Macaca mulatta: one gene and its partner. The protein of the gene in region 2 purifies or fractionates together with the protein of the main gene of each other region. This does not show direct contact. Links are inferred from orthologs where the notes say so. Each region holds a gene or a part of one and is shown on either strand. Other genes may lie near its edges.

The links.
Region 1: the proteins of DCAF8 (region 2) and CUL4B purify together in Homo sapiens (affinity purification with western blotting; 7 studies listed by BioGRID and IntAct, counting the BioPlex papers as one, with this or other methods). This does not show direct contact. The link is inferred for Macaca mulatta from reciprocal best matches to the Homo sapiens genes DCAF8 and CUL4B.

Annotation. Positions count from the first base shown.
Region 1 is NC_133426.1:126,934,799-126,938,413, forward strand, and holds part of CUL4B (cullin-4B), read right to left. Parts: intron 3,228-3,615; coding exon 3,136-3,227; intron 2,045-3,135; coding exon 1,937-2,044; intron 951-1,936; coding exon 837-950; intron 1-836.
Region 2 is NC_133406.1:106,663,589-106,667,203, forward strand, and holds part of DCAF8 (DDB1- and CUL4-associated factor 8), read left to right. Parts: intron 1-1,423; coding exon 1,424-1,602; exon of another isoform or gene 1,603-3,615. UniProt on the Homo sapiens protein: May function as a substrate receptor for CUL4-DDB1 E3 ubiquitin-protein ligase complex.

The DNA of each region.
Region 1 (3,615 bases), on a different chromosome or scaffold from region 2:
CACACTGTTCCCCTTAACTCCCACTCTATTCGTAGCTCCCAGCAACAAAATTTCTGTCAAGAAGTGGCAGTGTTAGGCTGGGTGTAGTTGCTCATGCCTGTAATCCCAGCACTTTAGGAAGCGGAGGCAGGAAGATAGCTTGAGCCCATAAGTTTGAGGTTACAGTGAACTGTGATTGTGCCACTGTACTCCTGCCTGGGTGACAAGAGTGGGACCCTGTCTCTAAAAGTAAATAAATAAATAAAAATAGGAAGTGGCAGTGTAAAGTTTTCATCTACAGGTGAGGAAAGAGTAGGGGAAAAGTTCATTGCTTTTCGTTTTGCAAAAGGGCCAAATCAATTGTGGAAAGACCACACAGCTAAAATTACTTAAAAATACATAAAGCTATGACAAGCTCTCACTGTCGTCATGCGGATATCTAGGATACAATTATAAAACAATAGCTTAAACTGGCCAAACGCGGTGGCTCATGCCTATAATCCCAGCACTTTGGGAGGCTGAGGCAGGTGGATCACAAGGTCAAGAGATAGAGACCATCCTGGCCAACATGGTGAAACCCCGTCTCTACTAAAAATATAAAAAAATTAGCTGGGCATGGTGGCGCACGCCTGTAGTCCCAGCCACTCGGGAGGCTGAGGCAGGAGAATCACTTGAACCTGGGAGGCGGAGGTTGCGGTGAGCCAAGATAGCGCCACTGCACTCCACCCTGAGACAGAGTGAGACTCTGTCTGAAAAAAAAAAAACACAAAACAATAGCCTAACCTTTTAGTTAAGAAAGATGACCTAAATATTAAAGACAAAGATGAAAACTAAAAGTTTTGGGAACATCCACTTACCTCTTTAAATTCTGCTTTAAGCACACAGTGTCCTAGGGTTGACTGCCACTGAAGTTTCCTGCCACTATGTTTGCCTAGGTAAAATGTCTTGAAAATCTCCTGAAGTTTTACCATCTAAAGTAAATAAAATAAGGCTTTATTTAAGCTCTATACCCAATACCACATTTACCACTTTTTATACTTACCTCATGTGATATAATTTCTGGAAAATTTTAAGACTATATCCAGTAGGTCCACCAATCACTTTGATGAAAAATAATGATCTCCCAACCACCAAATCAAATGGGATTTATTAGGATTTATACCCTTTGCTCTATCTGAACCATTTAATCATCCACTCTTTTGAAACATTGACCTGCAGCAGCTTTTGTGCCTCTATACTATGCTGGTTCCTTTATCTCACTGTTGCTTCTGCACTGGTTTCCTTCACAGGTTCCTCTTTCTACCATCTGCCAAATGTGAGCCTTTTCTAAAGTTCTGCCTCTGCTGTTTTTTCTTCCTCTTTGAGACAGATCTACTCCCTGGGCCTTCATAACCATCTCCATGGAGGATTCTCAATATCTAGCTGTCTAGCCTTAATCCCTTTTATGGACTTCAGTCCTGGGCTAGACAGTTTCCCAGGAGTCAGGATAGATTTAATCAAGCACCCATCATTTAGCAATCCCACCTATGGATGAAATATGTGCAAGAATTCTTAATAACTAGGTAGAATGAGGGGTATAATCTGTGAAGATGGAAGAAGAGCCAGGGAAATTGATCCTGAACCCAGAACTTTGGCATTATTAGCTAGGCTCTTAACTGGACTTAGAAGTACAAAAGTAAAATATTAAAGCAGTTGGTATTTGGTGTTGGTGTGTTTACTGACATTCACTTTTAAAAGTATCTATGCCAGGCCTGGTGACTCACACCTGTAATCCCAGCACTTTGGAAGGTTGAGGCAGGGGGGATCACTTGAGCCCAAGAGTTCAAGACCAGCCTGAGCAATACAGCGAGGCCCTGGGTCTCTATTTTTTTCTAAGTATCTATTTTTAAATGACAAGCAAAATGGAAATGTTATGATTTCTATGCCTATAACTCAGGTTCTAAACAGTAACTCTTACCTCTGGTGGTAAATGAACTTCCATAGGCACATATGTTGGCCAATAGCCCATTGTCAGGATATTCACAGTTAATTCAATATTTCCCGGAACATTCTGATTCTGCATATACTGTAAGATCAAAACACACACTGAGATCTTAAAACTGCATACATTTCGTATCATAATAACCTATTTAAGAAGTTCCCCGTTATGAAATTATATGCAAACACTGACCATCCTTAAAATAAAAGGCAATTATTAAGAGGACTTTAAATGAAGCCTACACAAAATGCATTAGGCAAGTACAGAGGTTAACATTTTGATACAAAGGCATACAAGGATCACATGACCTCATTACAGGCATTATCAACTTAAATAATTTCTCACATACAGCTGGGCTGTTATAGGATCTCTCCTCCACTCTTTTCCCCAATACCACCTGCAGTCCCCACCTTTGAATACCCCTACATGGCTTAAACATCTTGCAGCAATCCCCATTCCTCACCCCACCAGCCAGCCCAAGTCTCCAGTTTTTCGCTTGCTCCACTGCCTGTCTGCAGGGAGTGGCCTGGAGTAGGGAAGGAAAAAGAGGGGAAAAGGGCAAAGCAGATAAGCCCCATTCGGTAGCTACTATAGAATTCATAATCTTACTGACCCTGATTTTTTCTTAATTCTTTCACTTCCACTTCCCACCTTAGCAACATTGTGGGGTAAAGAAGTCACTACTAAAACCCCAAAAGAGGAAAATCTAACTTGCCATCACTATCACCTATGTTCTTAAACATTTCAAAACTACTTTCTACCTACATCTTCAAAACTGTGGATCTAGCTTTCTATCCCCAGTGTCCCCAAAGGCTTTATACAGCTACATTATCACTTCTCCTCTCTCCCCACTGCAAGCTCTGAACATGCAAATCACCAAATGATAAGACGCTGGGGAAAGCCCTGTTCCCACTATAGCTCTTCTTGTACTGACTTCAGTTCAATACATTTTATTTTTATTTTTGTGTTACTCTGGGTGTTTGTTAAAAATAAATCCTAAAGTAGGTCAAATATACTTATATTTCACCAATGGTTTTTTTTCTACTGTGAATATCACCTCAGTTGCCATGAAGTAATTACAACAAACACGTTTCTATTTATCCTCTTCAGTACAAATCACAGCAAGCGGATAACTAAATATAACTAAGTTCGAGGAATTAAGTAAGAGTTTAACTCACTTTTACCTGTTTGAACTGAATCATGATGTCTTTAGAAAGTTCCATGTCTTTAAACATTCCTTCAAGTTTGCTGGTGAAAGCAGCTCCGCATTCTATTAAAGATGTTTGTACATGTATAATATTTTAAAGTGGTAAAAACAAAAGAGGTTTAAAAGTGGGAAACACGAAATACAAAACTTACTTTAGTATGATCTGTAACTTTCATAAGAATAAAAAGAAATCCTTACCCCAAAGTGTATGCCCCATTAATTCAGAGTCAAACTCTTTAATCCTGTAGTAACCTTATCTACTATTTAGGTATAAAATAAATGGGAAACTTTTATACAAATAATAAAACCAAGAACAATGCTTTATCTTAAAAAACACAACAGCTCTGGATATATGTACAATAAGTTGGAAACCTCAGGAGCTTGCTCAATTTATGTTTTCATCATATATACATAGACACGACTGACAAAAGAGGAAATCGATTGAAAGGGT
Region 2 (3,615 bases):
TTGCCACTCCAATAATGTTGCTTCTAATTGGTTTGGACATAAGGAGACTAGACTGTTATTTTAAGATTTCAGGTAACTTCAAAATAAGCACAATGTCTTAGGGAGTCAGGGAAAGCCCTGTTTAGTCAGTGATCCTGAATTGCTTAAAATAGGGAGTGACCTTACACCTCTAGGAGGAGGAGTAAACTATTCTTTTAGATGAGGCAGAAGAGGAGGAATGGTGGTAGTAACTAGCCCGAGATTGGCCTGTTTTGTTCCTTTGGGGCACATTGAAATCACCTGATGTGTTGTGTTTTGTTTTGTTTTGTTTTGTTTTGTTTTGTGTTGATGAGACAGGATCTCACTCTGTTGTCCAGGCTGGAGTGCAGTGATGCAATTATGGCTCACTGCAGCCTCGACCTCCCAGGCTCAGGTGATCTTCCCACTTCAGCCTCCTGAGTAGCTGGGACTACAGGTGCATGCCTCTACACCTGGCTAATTTTTGTATTTTTTGTGGAGTTGGGGTTTCACCGTGTTGCCCAGGCTGGTCTCTAACTCCTGGGCTCAAGTGATCCGCCTGCCTTGACTTCTCAAAGTGCTGACCATGAGCCACCAATCCCAATCCTGATGTTCTTTTAAAAATAAGTTTGGCCTTAACCCTATATATTCTGATTTAGTAGGGATGGGATGGAACTTGAGCACTGAGATTTTTAAAAACTACCCACATGATTCTAATGTCCAGAAAAGTTGAGGAATCATTATTCTGTTGTTACGACTCCTAACAGATACCTGTCATGATTTTGTCTTGGAGATAGCAGTTCCTTTTCGTTTTTTTCCTGAGCTGGTAAGAAGGGAGGGAAAAATCTGTTCTTGGATCTCAGTACACAGGCAGATAAAGGAAGGGTGCCAGTCTCATGGCCAATATTGTACTGACCATAGTCATTGGAACTCTTGGCTTCTTTTACTGATTCTGGAGAGTGGAACCCTGTTAATGGTAGCAAGCACAGATGACTTGCTTCTTGAGGCAGTTGTGGCCTTCATCAGTCTCAGATCAACTGATGACCCCAAAAATATTGACAAAGTACCAATGAAGCCCACATATCAAAGATAATCCTAGGCCATAAGACAGTACTGCCTAAGAGTGGACACAGCTGGGACGAATCAGGATGGGACAGGTAAGGGATTAGAGAGGCCTGTGGTTGCTTGCTAGGGTATAAACTTAGAGACTGAGGCTGCTGCTAAAGGATTGCAGATTCCTCTGCCCTAAGGAGCGAGCTCTTTGGGAGAATATAAATCATCTCTGGGACTGTTGTGATTCTTATAACTATCTGTTAAACATGCATAATCTCTTGATGTGTTTTGAGAAAATGAAAATAATTATTTGGCCCTCAGCTGATTTAGAGTTTGTGAATAATTAAATTCCCTTTGAGATGAATATATATAGGCCTGATGCCAACCCTCATGTGGTTTGTTCCCTCATTTATCGTTTCAGTAAAAGGCGTCAATTTCTATGGCCCTAAGAGTGAGTTTGTGGTGAGCGGTAGTGACTGTGGGCACATCTTCCTCTGGGAGAAATCATCCTGCCAGATTATTCAGTTCATGGAGGGGGACAAGGGAGGCGTGGTGAGTATGGTATGCTGAGCTGGCTGGCTCCCTAATCTCTCCAGTCATTAAGGTAGGTTTTAGCAGGGACACTGAATTCTGTGACTACATAATACCATGTTTTAGAGGTCCAACCAGCCATAAAAGGCTAGTTAGCCTGGGGGTGCTGAGTTTTTGATGGAGTATTTTCTTCCTGTTCCTATCTTCTGTCCCTGTAAAGCACAGTTTATTGAGACAAGAAAGGGATCTTAGGGAAGAACCTCTGTCCTGTCCTGAGTGATGTAACTTATCTCTAGGCATGCACCTTTTCCAAATGAAAAAGTGTTAGCGTTCAGGGCACACCCTCCTACACAAGGCTAAAGATTTCTCTATGTCTCTTCCCTTTAAACTAAACTAAGTAGTGATCTTGGCTGGATCTTAGATCAGCAGATAAAAACTATAAAGAGCATTTTTTGGACAGTTGGGAAAATTAGAATATGGTTTATACATTAGATAACATGGTATTCAATATTACATTTATTTGATTTGATTACTTATGTAGGAGAATATTCTTGTACTTAAGATATACATGTTGAAGTATTTAGGGGTGAAGTGTCATGCTTACATTCAAATAGGTAACAAACACATATAAATGTGTATATGTAAGGAGAAAGCAAATGTAATTTTTTTCTAGTAGTTGAGCAGTCTGCTTGCTGTATAACCCATGATCATATCATAGTCTGCCTGTCCTTTGAGTTCTGCAGACCTCTGTGGAGTTAGGTCAAAAAGGAAGAGTGAGAATCGAGTTAGGGAATGAAGAGCCATCAGCTCTCTAGATGTATCTGGTTAACCTTATCTTTTTTTTTTTTTTTTTTTTCATTTTTGAGACCTAGAATTAGGAAAGAGTTCAATTGCTTTCTGTTACAAGGTTTTTGGACCACAGGAGATGGAAAGACAGTTTGAAAGACTAAATTATACTGATTGTCTAGAATAGTCTGGTTACCCAAGACCTCTAAGGAATGACTGAGACAGCTTAGTCTCTCTTCCTTTTTATTCCTTCTTAGCTGTGGGGAACTTTACAGAGCCTAGCCATCTCTTGATGAAGTTTTTTTCAGAGAGTGGTTTTAGAATTTAGAATGGTTCCTTGCAATCAGGATCCCATTCCTTATGTTTTTCTTGCCCTGGTATGAGGGTATTTCAAATTTTCTTCTGGTTTCCTCTAAATTTTGGGGACCTGGGACCTGCATAGATCTAGGGTTTTTATGGTTTGAATACAAATGGAGAGGAATCTAGAAGTTCAAGATGTGTCTCACTCTTCCCTGCTTCATTTCCTACTCTTCCATAGGTCCCCCTGTGTCATCTGCAGTGAACAAACCCAAAACACTTGAGTCTTAATGGGAATTATGCAATAGGCATTTAGAGAAAGGAAGTCAGAAGGGGCCAGTGAATTTTTTCTTGACATAAGCTATTGCCTTGCATTCTGTTCCAGAGAGATGCAGGGCTGAATGCCCTCTGCCAGGCCAGCATTTGTCCATTCTCCAAAAGCATTCTGCAGGCCAGTTTGCTTTTAGCTCAGCCAATGCCAGGGTTTGATGATTAACCCATTTGCCCAGGTGAGGAAGGCATTTACTTGGGATGGGTGGGCCCTAGGCCTAAGTTTTAGTGGTCCTAAGAGTAAATAAGTAGAATAAGAGATATAGAGGCTACCCCTGAAGCAAATTTCCTTACATATTCTTGTCTCTGTGTAAGCTGAATGATCGATGTGGTCTTTTACTTGGCTCCCTCTGTTCTGTTTTTGGTCCTAATTTTCCAGCAGTGGGGGTCACCAGGCACTAGTTTCAATGTAGTAGACTCAGCAGTTCTATATCATGCAAATTGTAAATGTAGAGTAGAATGTAATTGTAACGTAGAATGTTAGAACCAAAGATCTTAGAAGTTATTTTCTAACTTGCCCAGATCTCCTGACTCTGATTTGAGGATCATTTCTTTGTTCCCATTCAGCTTCACAGGGACAAGAATGGGGGGTGGTATCAGAGGACAGCCCCTTAGTCTCCC